2 linked regions of the Xenopus tropicalis genome follow. The protein of the gene in region 2 binds, or shares a complex with, the protein of the main gene of each other region. Links are inferred from orthologs where the notes say so. Each region holds a gene or a part of one and is shown on either strand. Other genes may lie near its edges.

Region 1 (8,243 bases), on a different chromosome or scaffold from region 2:
GTAGGAGAAAACAGCACCAGCCCGGGGTACCTGCAGCAAGTGCTTCCTTCTTCCTTCTGTGTCAAAATCCCAGGGCCGGTGCATGCGCAGTAGAGTGAAAAGCCGACTTTTTTGTTAAAGTTCCACTATTCACTCTACTGCGCATGCGCAAGTGCTCGAACAAGGATGAGGAGACAAAGCTCGCAGCTACCCCAGGTTTGCCGTGCCTTGTGCATACTTTTTCTAGACTCTAAGAAGGTTTACTCTCTACCCTATTTGTGAGAGTAAACAGAGACACATTTTGGTGTCTGTGTATAAATAGTAAGACATTCGGATTTGGCTTAAAGACATAAAGAGAATCAAAAGTACAGAAGAGGAATAACTAACAACTTCCATTGTCCACTGATAAGTTTATGAGGTTCACAACAATAGCTGGAGGATTGCAACACTGCACACACCAACATTAGGACAAATAAAATTACAGCAAAGAAAAACTTCTACACACATACATAATTGTTGTCTCTACTTTTTGGGCTTGCTCCAGCTCTTCTTCAGGGTCCTTGAAACCAGTAAATGAGTAATATGTCTTGTCCCATTTTATGGGCCTATCAAATGCTGCTTTTGTTCCCTTGTGAGGTTTTGACTCCATACCTACTTCTGCAGTATTCACATGTGCAGTAGATAAGCTGCATGAATTCAGAATATCCAGAACTGTACTTAGCAAGTCCCTTGTATCCAAAGTAAAATGTACGGTTCGAAACCCTATCAAGAAAAGCAAGTAAGAAAATGTTATAAATGCGAGAGGGTTAAAACTTCATTATAGAGTAAAAAAGAATCCATAACCTCACTTCGAAATCAATATGATAACCTAAAAATGCTAAAGTTATAGTCATTTTTAAGTGTGACTTTCATTTATTCTGTTGACATGTATTATTTCATGATTCATTGCGAGAACAAGCTACTAATGGCAGCAGACCCCCCTAGATCCCAGTTCTGTACCTACCAAACCCCCAGTTCTTACATCTAGCACTGAAAAGCATTGGATACATGGAAACTGTAATCTCCAACAATCTGCAATATTCAACAACATGTGCTGATCTTACAGGGTTACTTTTTTCTCTCTGACAGTGTCTTCCCTGAATTAGAGTTCAGTATAGCAACTACTCTTCAAGATTATGCCATATAGATTTAAAAAGTAAACTCACCACTCTATATGAGGGCCCAGGTAACACTTGTGCCTATGATTAAGTTAGATACAGCACAAAACGAGTAAGGCAACAAATATTTCCATGTTTCAACAGGAAATTCTTTCATTTGACAAACCTGTATTTGAGTCATCGCCTTTGAGTGCCTGCTAAGATGTTTATTTAGGAAAGGAGTGAACCACAATTTAGTTGGTAAAGGGGAACTATTACATTTAAAAAATATTAAAATAATGTCCATAATGCTGAAAGAAAATTATGATGTGAGTTATTAATGACTGTATATAAAGTTACATCTGGTTTTAGTAGCGCAGCCCAATGCATTAGTCATCCAACAGGATTTTCCAGCCAGTCCTATTGAGATCTGGCAGTAAGTTATCAAGGAAACACTGGGAGGGACGGTTTAGGTTAATGTCAGTCCAGATTTGACAGCTTTCGGCAGCTGTGTCTTTTAAAGAAAAATATATTGGAACCAAAAGGTACGGAATTGTGTCCAAATATTTTAAATTGTGGGCAAACATGCATAATTCTTGCCTAAAACTACAGATCACTGTGAATATGCAGGGGAATCACACTGTGCACATGCTGATGCACTGCTAATTCTGCGGAGAAAAGTTGCAGCTTCTGACAATTCTGCAGGCGTGACATTAGTCTTAATTCTCATTATCATTTTTCATATGGATAAATGCTCTGCTTTTATTCTGTGGTTGTGCAGAGATTTATTTTGAATGTAATGACACTTACCTGTGGTTCGAATTGTGTCTGAATCATTTATGGTGTTTGTTTCTCGTACATAAAATGTAAGCTGAGCTGGTTTGTGAGATTTCTGACCGGGTTTCTGAAGATTTTCTAAGTAGCCATTTAATCTTTTCAGTGAGTTTTCGTTTACTTCCTATAATGAGGCAAGCAGTACAGCTTTGATGAGAATAAAAAGTGTCAGGAGTTAAAGGGATACTAACACCTTTTATAGCATTCTCCCTAACAACCAATATCCTGGGTATGGCACTTTTTGCCTTAATTGCTTGAATATCATGGCTGCTGCACCCTTTTTCAGCCATGGTAGTCAGGCTGTTGCTGCTGCACATAGCGCTTCCTAGGACAAAAGGCATAGTTTTTGGAAAGTGTCAAAATTCCTTTAACATAACATGTGAATGCTGTTCATTAAAAGAAAAGTAACACTAAAATTTTTTAAGTAAAAAAGCTATTACATGACAGTACTATACCAAACTCCTAGACAAGCTTGCAGAGACACATATTGAAAAATGAAACCTCACACGGTGCTGCAGTGGTGCAACAACTTCGATAGCCAGATGCTTTATTTTGAGCCTTAAAGGAAAAGTAACACTACATTTTTTAAGTAAAAAAGCTTTTCTACCCTGCACCAATAATTGCCCTATCCTGCAAACCACTTAGTATTTTAAATGCTTTAATAGAAAATACCTGCTTAAAGTTGACTTCCTGTCAATTGAACTACAGCGATACGGCAAAGGAAGGAGCAGCAACCATTATGCAATCGATTGATCGAGCCTAGCCTGACTCCTTCCTATACAGAAAGAAGGCTAGACTCGATCAATCGATTGTCGCATAGTGATGCAGCTCCTTCCTTCGCCGTATCGCCGTAGTTCAATTGACAGGAAGTCAAGTTTTCGCAGGTATTTTCTATTAAAGCATTTAAAATACTAAGTGGTTTGCAGGATAGGGCAGTTATTGGTGCAGGGTAGAAAAGCTTTTTTACTTAAAAAATGTAGTGTTACTTTTCCTTTAAGGCTCCAAATAAAGCATCTGGCTATCGAAGTTGTTGCACCACTGCAGCACCGTGTGAGGTTTCATTTTTCAATATGTGTCTCTGCAAGCTTGTCTAGGAGTTTGGTATAGTACTGCCATGTATCTTAAAAGGAGAAGGAAAGGTAAAAACTAAGTAAGCTTTATCAGAAAGGTCTATGTAAATATAGCCATAAGCACTCACAGAAACGCTGCACTGAGTTCTCTATCAAAAAACGAAACACAGGATTTCTTGTCTCTTTTTTTGTAAACATAATGTTCAAGTGTCTGACTTCCTCTCTCAGAAACACCTTAATTCCCAGTGCCAGAGTCTGCCCAGTTCTCTCTTCTCTCCTGCTCCCCCCTCCCATCAGAATGCTAAGAACTCCCTCCCCCCTCCCTTAGGAATGTGTGATCTCAGCTATAACGGCTAGAATGCAGGCAGGAAGCTACCTAAAATGACAGCTGCTATCTTAAGCAAAAGGAGAAAGCTTCTAAAGCTGTTTACTCAGGTATGGTAATGGTTTCTGCAGAATAAATATATTGTTCTAGGTGGCACTAATGTGGCAAATCTATTGGCAGTAAAATGCCAAAATGACTTTCCTTCTCCTTTTCATTTAAGCTCTCTTAGGTTGGTGCAGCACTCAGAATTGTTCATTACATTTCATGTGAAATAGCAAACACTGAGAGATGAGGGCGACTGTAGTTATATTGCTGAAGTGACACTGACACTGTTGCAATGACCAAATACAAAATGTTTGATTTAAAGATGTTTATGCAAACTTAGAAAACATTTGTCTTATGAATGATATAGAAAGATACAAAGTAAATGAAAATACAAAATGTAAAAGGAAAATATATTTAATTAGTGCTAAATATCAAAATGCTTACTCTTTCCACTGGATGTTGACCAAAAAAATCTGGGTGGACAGCAAAATAAAATGGCCTTAGAGCTGTGGCTGCATCTGCGCCCGAGAGTGGCCTGGCTTGAAAAACAAATTTCTGTAATAGAGACCCCCATGGAAGTCTGAAAGGGGAAAAAGAAAAGTAGTAAATTTACCATGTGCCAAATAAAATGATGTAATAACAGGCAAATTAATGACTCCAATATGTATTTCACTGCCTTTCCTAAATTGAGACTAAGGTATACTGAAGGCCCTGGTTCTTGCTCTTAGGGGTAATTTACATGAAGCACGTGATGTTTCCTTCCATGTGGAAGACATGTCCCTCCTGAACTAGATGTAACATCAGCCAAATCACAAATTGTGTACGCAAAATGCTGAAAGAACCAATTTCAAGAGACTACAATATTGGACTGGCAAGTTGATTGAAATTCACATTATCATTGTCTTCAGTGTACAGCTAGTAATATCCATGTGCCATCGAAAAAGTGTGCAGTACAATTGTGCCTCTTTTAGGATATAGATTAAACATTTTAAGAGGACTCAAGCTGCATGAGAAGCACACCACTGGCCAAACGTGTCCAGGACCGGATTTCCAGGGGCCCATCCTCAGTTGCTCCCTGCCCCTCCCACAGGACCATGTACTCCTACATGTGGAGCACGGGGGGCAGGGCGCATGGAGATCTCCAGCGCACATAGTCCCCAGGCCCTGCATATGTAAAGTTCAGGAGCAGCTGTGCAGTGTGCTGCCCCTTAATTTGTGCCTCCCTAGGCCCAGGCCTTTGTGGTCTTGCCACATATCTGGACCTGAATGTGTCAGTGAAGAGTAATGTACAGAATTAGTCGTATCTCTAATTATTAAGCATGGTAACTGCACTAAAAAAGGTTTTAAACCCGTTTGTTTCAAAGGACAGTAAATTGGGTAAACTTACCTCTTTGTGGCTCTGCAGCAGCCAAACATGACAAATTTGTTGGGGAGACCAACATGCAGAAATCAAATGAGTACCTTCAGGCACAACCAATGGAGAGAAATAACTGTGTTAATGAGAGGTAAACAAAGGGTACATTTTAAAGCATTACAGTAACTGGAATTTGAATTCCTGAAAAGATATTGGAAGTAGAAGGACATTTAGAGACTTACTTGTGGGAATACGTTTGAGCCCAAGCCTTTTATCCAATGCCTTTTTTTGATCATGAGTGCCACAGTAAAATAGGTATGGGTTTTCCTAAAATAAATAAATAAATTTGATAATCAACTACTTAATGCCAAGGGATTGCATTTTCAGACAACATAATCAGTGTATCTGATGTAAATTGAGAGAGGTAACTGTTGATTTGCAGGAAATTTACACTATATATTTATATATGTCATAGTCCTAAATACATGTTACTCACAGATTGATCTAAATTAAAGATGGTAGTCCTACCATACATTTTTAAAGGAGAAGGAAAGGCTAATAAAGAGTTAATCTCAAGCTGCGGGCATACCTTCAGTTCTCTCAATAGCGCCCTTAAGTCTCCCCATATTTCTCCTGTTCACATTATCAGAAGGCAAACAGAAAGAAAAACACTGAGCTGTGCAAAGAAAGTTCCCATAATGCCTCACTCCTGAACCGAGACCGAGACCAAGTGAACTTGCTCAGTTAGTAAGACTAAGGGGCACATTTACTAATCCACGAATCCAAATCACGAATGGGAAAAAATCGTATTGGAAACGAAAATTTCGTAAGATCGCAAATATCACGAAAATGCTTACGAAAAAATCGTATTAGTCACGATAATATCGTATTGGCGATCTGAAAGTCACGAAATTCTCGTACCGAACAATTGTAAACAGCGGTAAAACCTTTCCGATTTTTTCGTGCAAACGTCCGAAAAAGTCGTACAGCGTACGAAAAAGTCGTGCGCCGTACAAAAAAGTCGTGCACACGCCCAAAAAAATCAGTGAAAATACGCTTGGAGCGTTCGCATAAACGCTTGTGCGTTCGTGCTTTTGTAAATGTGCCCCTATGAGTCAGCTTCCTGCTGATTGGCTCAGATCCACATTCCTAAGGGGGGGGGGTGAGTTCTTAGCATTCTTGAGGGAGGGGGGAGCAGAGAGCTGTGTGTCTGTGGCACATGAATTACAGACACAACAAATCTTTTGACAGAGAACTCATGCAGCGTTTCTGTGAGTGCTTATGGCTGTATTTACATAGACCTTTCTGATAAAGCTTAATGAGTTTTTACCTTTCTTTCTCCTTTAACAGTAACCCTCACTTGCAACTGGTGTGTGTTGTCAGCAGTCCTACTTCAATATTGACCCATATTTCTGGTCCTCCACCCCAAATCTTTATGTAACAAAAATCTTACAGAAGTGGGAAAGTTGTGTACAAGATATGATGTACCTCTTACTCCATAATATACATATACAGTACATATATGTTAATACTTAAAAACAGTGTGTAGATTATTAAAACAAAAAGTGTGATGTGAAAAACACATTCTGTCCCAAGATGCAACTATCATTAGTATCAAAAGAGTTGCATGCAATTTTTCATAGGCCCAAAGGTTCTATGTACAGGGCCGGATTTGAAAACCAGAGGCCACCCCCCGGTCGCATGCCCCCCCCCGCCCTGAGTTACATAGTTACATAGTTACATAGGGTTGAAAAAAGACCAGTGTCCATCAAGTTCAACCCATCCAAGTAAACCCAGCACACCTAACCCACACCTACCAATCTATACACTCACATACATAAACTATATATACAACCACTAGTACTAACTGTAGATATTAGTATCACAATAGCCTTGGATATTCTGATTGATCAAGAGCTCATCCAGGCCCCTCTTAAAGGCATTAACAGAGTCTTCCATTACCACATCACTAGGAAGGGCATTCCCCAACCTCACTGCCCTCACTGTGAAAAACCACCTACGCTGCTTCAAATGGAAGCTCCGTTCCTCTAATCTAAAGGGGTGGCCTCTGGTGCGTTGATTGTTTTTATGGGAAAAAAGAACATCCCCCAACTGCCTATAATCCCCTCTAATGTACTTGTACAGAGTAATCATGTCCCCTCGCAAGCGCCTCTTTTCCAGAGAAAACAACCCCAACCTCGACAGTCTCACCTCATAGCTTAAATCTTCCATCCCCTTAACCAGTTTAGTTGCACGTCTCTGCACTCTCTCCAGCTCATTAATATCCTTCTTAAGGACTGGAGCCCAAAACTGCACTGCATACTCAAGGTGAGGCCTTACCAGGGACCTATAAAGGGGCAAAATTATGTTCTCATCCCTTGAGTCAATGCCCTTTTTTATACAAGACAGCACTTTATTTGCTTTAGTAGCCACAGAATGACACTGCCTGGAATTAGACAACTTGTTATCAACAAAAACCCCTAGATCCTTCTCCATTAAGGATACCCCCAACACACTACCATTCAGTAGATAGTTTGCGTTTATATTATTCCTACCAAAGTGCATAACTTTGCACTTATCAACATTGAACCTCATTTTCCAGTTTGCTGCCCAGTTATCTAATTTTGTCAAATCGCTCTGCAAAGCGGCAGCATCCTGCATGGAACTTATAGTTTTGCAAAATTTTGTGTCATCAGCAAAAATAGAAACAGTACTCTCTATGCCCACCTCCAGGTCATTAATAAACAAGTTAAAAAGCAAAGGCCCAAGGACTGACCCCTGCGGTACTCCACTAACCACACTGGCCCAATTAGAAAATGTTCCATTTACAACCACTCTTTGTACTCTATCCTTCAGCCAGTTCTCTATCCAATTACAAATATTATGTTCTAGGCCAATATTCCTTAATTTGATCATTAACCTTCTGTGAGGTACTGTATCAAACGCTTTAGCAAAGTCCAAGTAGATGACATCAACTGCCATTCCAGCATCGAGGTTCCTACTCACCTCCTCATAAAAGGCGACTAAATTAGTCTGGCAAGATCTGTTACGCATAAAACCATGCTGGCACAAACTAATAGTATTGTGAACTGCAATGTATTCAAGTACCCTATCCCTTATTACCCCTTCCAAAAGTTTTCCTACTACTGATGTCAGACTAACAGGCCTATAGTTTTCAGGCTGAGAACGGGATCCCTTTTTAAATAACGGCACCACATTAGCAATCCGCCAGTCTCTCGGCACCATGCCAGACCTCAATGAATCCTGAAAAATTAAGTGAAGAGGTTTGGCAATCACAGCGCTCAGCTCATTTAATACCCTGGGATGAATCCCATCCGGTCCTGGACCTTTGTTTACCTTTACATGTTCAAGTCTCTTTTGAATTTCCTCCCGAGTGACGCATGCGTCAGTAGCTAAATTACTAGAACTGGGCATATTACAAGGGAAGCCTTCATTATCTGGCTCCTCAGATGTATAGACAGATGAAAAATAAGAGTTCA
Region 2 (7,715 bases):
GTCACTGAATGCAGGGAAGCTCCACTGCATTAAACTTCCCTGTTTTGCCAGCTCAATAATTTCAAGCCTCGATGTATGAAATGGCAACACAGAAAAATTAATGTGAGTAATTAGTTGTAGCGCAATTACATGTTTTTACCCACTCACTTTCCTTGCTTTTATGAAAATGGCTATGGGTGCTAAGGCCTAAAATCAGAAAGAAGCCAGTGAAGTTTTGTTTGGACCCCAGGTGGGACCCCCAATCCCCACGAAGCTTAAGGCTCCACTAAGCAAGTGATACAGAATGATCCCTTGGCTATTGTATTGCCATTGGCAAAATGTACAGGAAACAGACACATACCGGGCCAGGGGGAGTCCAGCCAGTGCTTGATATGAAGGATCTTTTCATCTTTAGATCGGGCAAAAGCCTCCTCACAAATTTTGTCATATTTTGAAATTTCTTCCTGTAGATGGAGAGACCATATGACTATGCCATTCTACACCCAATGCCTTGAAACCAAATGGAACCTACGTTGGGTACTTACCTCATACTCCGGCTGGTTGACCACTCCCTGAGAGATTAGGGTCTCTGCGTACTTCTGCAGTACAGTCTTCTGCTTCCGAATCTGTTTGTACATCAGCGGCTGGGTGAACATGGGCTCATCCATCTCATTGTGACCGTTCCTACGGTAACACACCTAATGGCGCAAAGAGACGAGTGCCACTATCAGGTGACTGACCCCAGCTGACAAAACACAGCTACTGTGTGAGAAAAACTATTGCTCTGTGCAGCTACAATTCCATTACTACTACTTATTATTTAATCTTCCTATTCATTTAATCCTTCACCTATCTTCCAGTCTTTTATTTACCCTTGCAACCAGGCAGTTAGCAACCATATAACAGTTAAATACCAAACTCTGGACTCAAAATAAATGGTAGAATGAGTTCATATGGTGCATTTCCATTTGGTGGCGTTAGTGATACAGTAACTGTAGGCACACTGGTGTCACCTAAAGTGTAGTCAGGGCCCTGCTCACATCGACTTGAAGTGCATCATTAGCACGCGACCATAAAGCATAAATCTAAGTTTTGGGAAGTGTTCCTGTAGCAGTTACAATGGTAGCCCATACCAGATCCACCACGACATCCTTGTGGAAGGTGCTTCGCCACTCTGCAGCCACATTACACACGTACATCACAGCTTCGGGGTCATCTGCGTTGACATGGAAGATGGGGGCATTCACCACTCTGGCCACATCCGTTGGGTAGGGAGAGGAGCGGGCCATTCGAGGGTCAGTGGTGAAACCAATCTGGAGGGGAAGGTTTAATCACAGTCAAGCAATGAGGTGTGATTTAGGTGTTATTATTAAACAGCGCTGTAAAGAAGCAATGCGAGGAATGTACAGAATGTAAGCACTGTTCTTTATACAATGGAAGGACACAGAATTTCTCACTACTATTAAACCTGCACACCCCAGCCACTGTCCAGCTCAGACAACAGGAATGGCAGCTGAATCCATGTTATTTGCCAATAACCCTGTTATGCCGAATACCCTGCCCAGAACACACTAAATGCCATACCTGATTGTTCACCACCACATGCACAGTGCCATGTGTAGTGTAGGAGGGAAGGTCACTAAGGTGGAAGGTCTCATACACAATGCCCTGTCCTGCGAATGCAGCATCACCATGCAACAGGATGGACATCACCTGTGGACACAGACAGACGTGTTATTTAAAGAGTCATATTTAAACAAACAGCTTTGTTCATGCCACAAGTCATCTTCTGGCCACCTTTTTGCCCTCCGTGTCCCCACAGTAGAACTGCTCAGCTTTCGTCTTTCCCTGGACCACAGGATCTGCTGCCTCCAGATGGGAGGGGTTGGCCACCAAGGACAAGGTGATGTTCCTGTCAGTCACTCTGTTTATCCTCCTGTGATACATTCCCAGGTGGTATTTAACATCTCCGGAGCCCTGCAAAGAACAGAGCAGTGAGAGAGGCGCCCTGTATCCTTTATTCCCACAAGCAATGGAATGAGCACTTGGAAGCCAAATAATGAGGACCTAAAAATTCACTTTTGAGGATTTACTGGCACTTAACTATCCACGGAGCTCACTCTGGTGCAATCCTGAATAATATGAAAAGGATGGGGTACCTATTTACTACCTCGGTGGGGCCGTTCCTTTTCATAGTAGGTGCGCAAACTATAGATAAAACCAGAAAAAAATAGTGGCCCAGAGGGGCACTTACACATAATTATAACCAACATTATTTTATGTTGCTTTCGGGTCCAGTAACTTTTCATTACGATGGACTGTCGAGTTTAGGCAATTGCTTTTTTGACCAGTTGATGGGGGTCCCTGTCTTTTCATCATGTAAGCCATTTACCCAGCATCGCCAGGTTTTCCACCCCTCAATTTGGCACTGGTTCTCCCCTGTCTATAAGTACTGGGGAGTCACTCACCTCATCTGCAGCTTCCAGTTTGGAATCAAACTGACAGAAAATCTGCTCCAACTCTTTCCTAATCACATTGGCCAGTACGTTTAGTCGGCCCCTGCCAGACACATGGAAAGTGTTACTAAAGCAAAGCCCACATGACTGCGGGGAAGGAACAGTGAGTTTAACCAAGGCATGTTATGTTGGGACAACTGATCTGTCAGATGTTTGTGGTTATAGTCATTTGGCCTGTGCATTATTTCTAGGAAAATGGTAGAGAAAGAGTGCAACAGGCTGAAAGGGCTCAGAACAATGGCTGTTTTTCATTAAAGCTTTATATACAGGGATCCACACCAGGCCCAGACTGGCAATTTGTGTGTTGGGCAAATGCCAGAGGGGCTGCTGTAAGATGCCACAAACAGTTACCATTTATTGGGCTGGTGGGGGGCGGTTTGTGCCACTATATACTTGAAATGCCAGGGCCCATTTTGACTCCAAGCCCAGGCCTGGGATCCACTGCAGGGGCAACACTGAGTTAGCAGAACTAGAAGGTTCCAAAAGTACACACACACACACACGTAGAACATACCTGTGGGGCATCCCCATGATGACATAATCCACCCCATTCTCACTAGATTTATCAATGATGGTTTTCAGAGCAGGGATCAAGCCCTCGCACCCCTCCAAACCAAAGCGCTTCTCAGACGACCACTTGCGATGGAGAAACTCTTCAAACCTTTGCAGGAGAGAGATTATGCCCAAGTGTAAGCTCACAGGAGTCATTGATTCGTAACTGATGGGACAAAGCCAAGCTGTTCAGCACACTTACCGAGTAGATCTAACCAGCCTGGCAAGCAGGGTCCTTTTCTCTTCATTGTTAAACTGCATGATTCCTGGGGTCTCAAACTTCTGCCTTATCCACTGACACTGCTCCAGATCATTTATAAACATGAATTCGACTCCGATGTGCTGGCAGTATGCAGTCTGTGAGAGGAGGGCAGTAGAAGGAAGCCATGATTAATCAGTGCAGACACAGACAATGGTGCATTAAGTGCATGTCACATGTGCAGTCTGTCCGTGCCACTACTGCCCCTTGCTCAAGTCTTTTCAGGCAGATGCAAGTCTTGTCAATGCTGAAAAACGCAGCAGCAGCGGTTTTCCACTATGGAATTTCTCTACACATGCGTCATAGCCCTTCTACTTTCTGGACTACACATATTATGCTTTTATGTAGAACTCTGTCCTCTCACCTCCAGCCTTCGAATGATCTCTCTCAGGGGCAGAGCCATTTCATTGCCGCCGATGAATGTAGTGGTTGGGAGATGGAAGACTTTATCCAGGTCAGATTCCTGCAGCCCATAAAAGCCTAAGGTGCATGACGGTCAGAGAGACAGATGCAGGTAATGTTACAGGAAGAAAAGGATGCAGCAAGCAAGCACAGCCATATTGCAGAACAAGGGCACCAACAAAGTGAAGCATGGCAGACAAGTGGAATGCGTTGGATTGTACAGAAATGAGTTAAGGAGGAGACAGCTATCTCAAATATATATATTGCACACACACACACTAATATATATATATATATATATATATATATATGTATGGATGTGAAGAGCATTGTCAGGTTATATTTTTGGAAAAAGGAGAATGTACAAATGTAAAGTATTACATTGGGTGAGGTTTCAGTGCCAAGTATATTTAGTGTATGAGTTTGGCAGAGTGAGGGAGGTGAGACAGAAGAGAGCAGCAAATAGAAAAAAAAAACTGGACAGCTAAATATACATTAGTTCATAATCACCTTACATAACCAATAGTTTATCCCAAACAGCTAGGCCAACACTGGAGTTTTTGGGGTCGGCCCACACCCACTCACAGGTAGGTGTATAAGTCAGCACAACAGGTTGTGTTTAATGGCTGCATGTTCTACTTGCAGAAGTTGTGTGGTCCCTGTGCCCTCCTCAACTACAGGATCTAGCAGCTTCACACAGGAGTACTCAAGCAGCCCCCGCACCCCAGAGAGCCAGGGCTCATCATATAGCACTTAAACAACCTCTAAAGACTTCTAGGTGAATCCTCATGAATGTGAGTAACCAGGCACAGAGTCTCACTGCCAATGTCAAACTGAATTCCTGAGCACGCTAGGCTGTCATTTATTTAGGTTCCTTCCATTGGCCCCCCCCTCCCCTAGTGTAATGAGCCAATGTATTGTGTTGAGAGCAGAAGTATACTGCACAGCAAAGCCTCTGTATAGAGGGCACTATGCCTGGTTGTGCCCAAACAAGACAGGGGTACATGGCATTCTGCATAAACTTTGCACTCTGTACCTTTCACCTTCATGCTCCCTGATAACTTCCCAGGAAGAGAGATATGTGCCTGGACTCTCTGCACTATGCAGGCACGGTGCCAACTCCATTACAGTCTTGCCTGGGACTGATATTCTGGTGTTTGGCCACAGTACGACCTTCAGTCACATTCCCTGCACCCACTTGCTCAGGGCATTTATACTTGCCTAAAGCTGGCAACATTCTGGTTTGTATCAGGGCAGGCTGCCTTACTAGAGCCATGTTCTACAATCACAGGATGGTATTGAGCAAGAGGACAGGGTGTGGGGGATTTTTTGGCTTTATAAACAGGCGAAAAGCAGATCTGTGCAGCTTGAAACGTGTATGGCTATTATTTGTACCTAATATGCTTCTGTAATAACTAATACTTCCCTTATGATGCTTGTTTGGGTCAGTGCCTGCCGGTATCATTTACTTTACAGGAAGCAATAGAGCAACTCATACAAAGCTACACCCCTATGCATTACTGCCTGCATCATGAGTATACCAATGGGGATTAAAAGCAGAAGGCCAAATAGCTAGCTTAACTAGACACATTCTGCCATGTATGCATTGCTATGTGAGGTGCAATAAAAACAGGCCAGTGAATGAATAAATGAAGCCAGGCCTCTAGTCTTCACTCTCACTGCATGAAGCACAAACCATACATGGCGGCTAACAGGCAAGCTTAATGATCACACAAGTCAGTTCTAAGCAACATGTAGCCTTTGCTAAAAGGCATCTCCCATATGTGCCACCCCCAGCATGCCCCGCTGTTCCTGTAATAAATGCGACTGCAGCCCGTGGGTTTGGGCCGTGATTGTTATGAAAGGACATAGTTCATACCTCCCACAGTGAGAACACGCAGCCGGTCCATGAATGCTTGCAGGTCTGGGTGGGAATGGGAAGACAGGAGGAGCATGGGGGCATGGGGAGAAGGACAAAGAGTGCAGCATGTGGGGGAAACAGAGAGGAAACTTTAAATAAATCTGCAGCACAACCAGGGGGCAGTACAAGGTGCAAGCCATAATTCTGCCATAATTGTGTGTCAATGCACATGACATTCCCACATTCTCGGTGCCAGGACACACGAAAGTGCCTTTCCGATGGCCCGCTTTGCTTCATAGGCACAAAGAACATCTTAAATAGAGGCAATTAATACTTCAAGTGTATAAGCAGCCAAACAAATACACAGAAAACTTCCTATAAAGTATCCAAGGACCTTCTGCTACTAAAAAAAAAAATACAAAATAAAGTAGTGGACAGTGTATATGCCCTGACTCATAGGCACAGGAGCATTATAGTATTACTGACATGGAACTGGAATGTAGACACTAATTTACTGGATATTGCTGGATCTACATGCAAGGTTAATGGCCACACATCTATATCCTTATAACAAACTTAGCGATGGCAATGAGGGGAGTAGTGGGAAAACCTCAACCCTATCCCATAAATACATGATAGTACATAGGCCATAACAGATTAACAAATAACTGCAGAGCTTGAGAATTGTACTAAAAAGGGACAAATACCCAAGATTTAACTTAATATACTCTTCACCTTTTTCTTAGATTTCACACAGTTTTTACACTGTTGATATCATGAATGCGTTACAGGAGCACCCCCTGCTGTTCCAGCTGGACAGAATGACAGAAGTTTAGGATTCTGATGCAGGAAGCGTCACATGGCATGACTGAGCAGGGAAGCGCCAGAAGACTCCTCCTGCATCAGGAAATTGAGATGCTGCTCCTGCAGGACCTGCACAGAAGCCTTATTTAAGGCTTATAGCACAGGGAGAATTTCTCTGTATTTTAGCCAACAGAGACGCACCAGATAACACAGGCCCCTTACAAACAGCCAGTGACAAGTGGCTTCCATTAATATAAATGACAAGAAGGCGGGGGGGTGCATGAAATTCAATGGCAGATAAACATTACACGTGCAGTTATCCCATGTCTGTGCCTGTATGCAAAGGTTTAGCTCTTTATGAAGTGACTGTGATACTTACCGACATCCAACTAGGATCTGTTGAACCATTTCCTGCTTGTGGACTAAACCCTCCCATAGTCAAATGGAGACAAATTCCTCCTAGACTCGATTTTGTCATTCCAGGCCCACGGGGGCAGTTATAGCATAACATCATAAGAAACTTATTTGTAAGCAACATAAGTCAGTATGGGTCTGTATGTGAGTGTATAGATAGGTCAGTGTGGGTCTGTATGGGAGTGGATAGATAGGTCAGTATGGGTCTGTATGTGAGTGAATAGATAGGTCAGTATGGGTCTGTATGGGAGTGGATAGATAGGTCAGTATGGGTCTGTATGGGAGTGGATAGATAGGTCAGTATGGGTCTGTATGTGAGTGGATAGATGGGTCAGTATGGGTCTGTATGTGAGTGGATAGATAGGTCAGTATGGGTCTGTATGTGAGGGGATAGATAGGTCAGTATGGGTCTGTATGTGAGTGTATAGATAGGTCAGTATGGGTTTATGCATGTGAGTGGATAGATGGGGTGGTGACTGAGTGAAGGTGAGGCGTGTATCCTTCTGACTGCTTATTGGCCGTGAGTGCTGCTGTGGGCAGGCAGCATGCACCAGAGCTCACTATAGGTCAGTGCCTTCATCCTGCCTGCTCATAGTAACCAACAACTAAAACCCTCAATATGTACACAAAATAAATCTGTTAGTAAGATGCCAAAAACTATTTTTTGGATTCACCCCAAACGATAATAATCCTTCACTAAAAAACAAAATTCCATAATTTTTTTTTAAAGATCGGAACACAATGTATAAAACTGCATTACCTGGGGCAAACGTTTTTTTAAAAATGATGCGGAGGGCTGAAACGGTCCCAATCACATACATTATCCCATAGACTGAATGGCCGGATACTGTATGCGGGGTAATACATGGACACCATTCTATTTTTTTTTTTTATAACATATATAATTCCCCCCCAACGTGCTGTTGTT

The links.
Region 1: the proteins of ogdh (region 2) and tcaim are in contact, whole or in part, in a cryo-EM structure (PDB 8I0K), measured with the Homo sapiens proteins. The link is inferred for Xenopus tropicalis from reciprocal best matches to the Homo sapiens genes OGDH and TCAIM. Residues at the interface, in NP_001425937.1 of Homo sapiens: Gly301, Tyr304, Arg323, Tyr354, Arg356, Ile358, Arg364, Asn365, Lys387, Glu391, Tyr394, Cys395, Gly396, Thr398, Glu399, Lys401, Lys402, Lys561, Met602, Pro605, Glu667, Gly668, Ile669, Asn709, Met734, Ala735, Ser736, Pro737, Asn738, Gln772; in NP_001269842.1 of Homo sapiens: Glu214, Gln234, Arg235, Ser236, Trp237, Gly238, His241, Ser244, His247, Ser248, Arg251, Gln255, Asp272, Arg273, Thr286, Met287, Asp288, Val289, His290, His291, Glu331, Leu332, Gln333, Pro334, Val335, Arg375, Tyr376, Glu441, Ser443, His473.

Annotation. Positions count from the first base shown.
Region 1 is NC_030682.2:50,388,351-50,396,593, forward strand, and holds the start of tcaim (T-cell activation inhibitor, mitochondrial), read right to left. Parts: upstream 5,072-8,243; 5' UTR 4,986-5,071; intron 4,880-4,985; exon of another isoform or gene 4,851-4,879; 5' UTR 4,806-4,850; coding exon 4,777-4,805; intron 3,970-4,776; coding exon 3,834-3,969; intron 2,074-3,833; coding exon 1,926-2,073; intron 742-1,925; coding exon 489-741; intron 1-488. UniProt on the Homo sapiens protein: May regulate T-cell apoptosis.
Region 2 is NC_030679.2:126,362,123-126,369,837, forward strand, and holds part of ogdh (2-oxoglutarate dehydrogenase, mitochondrial), read right to left. Parts: intron 3,787-7,715; coding exon 3,671-3,786; intron 3,405-3,670; coding exon 3,250-3,404; intron 3,157-3,249; coding exon 3,010-3,156; intron 2,539-3,009; coding exon 2,448-2,538; intron 1,957-2,447; coding exon 1,777-1,956; intron 1,693-1,776; coding exon 1,564-1,692; intron 1,293-1,563; coding exon 1,113-1,292; intron 678-1,112; coding exon 525-677; intron 444-524; coding exon 341-443; intron 1-340. UniProt on the Homo sapiens protein: 2-oxoglutarate dehydrogenase (E1o) component of the 2-oxoglutarate dehydrogenase complex (OGDHC). Participates in the first step, rate limiting for the overall conversion of 2-oxoglutarate to succinyl-CoA and CO(2) catalyzed by the whole OGDHC.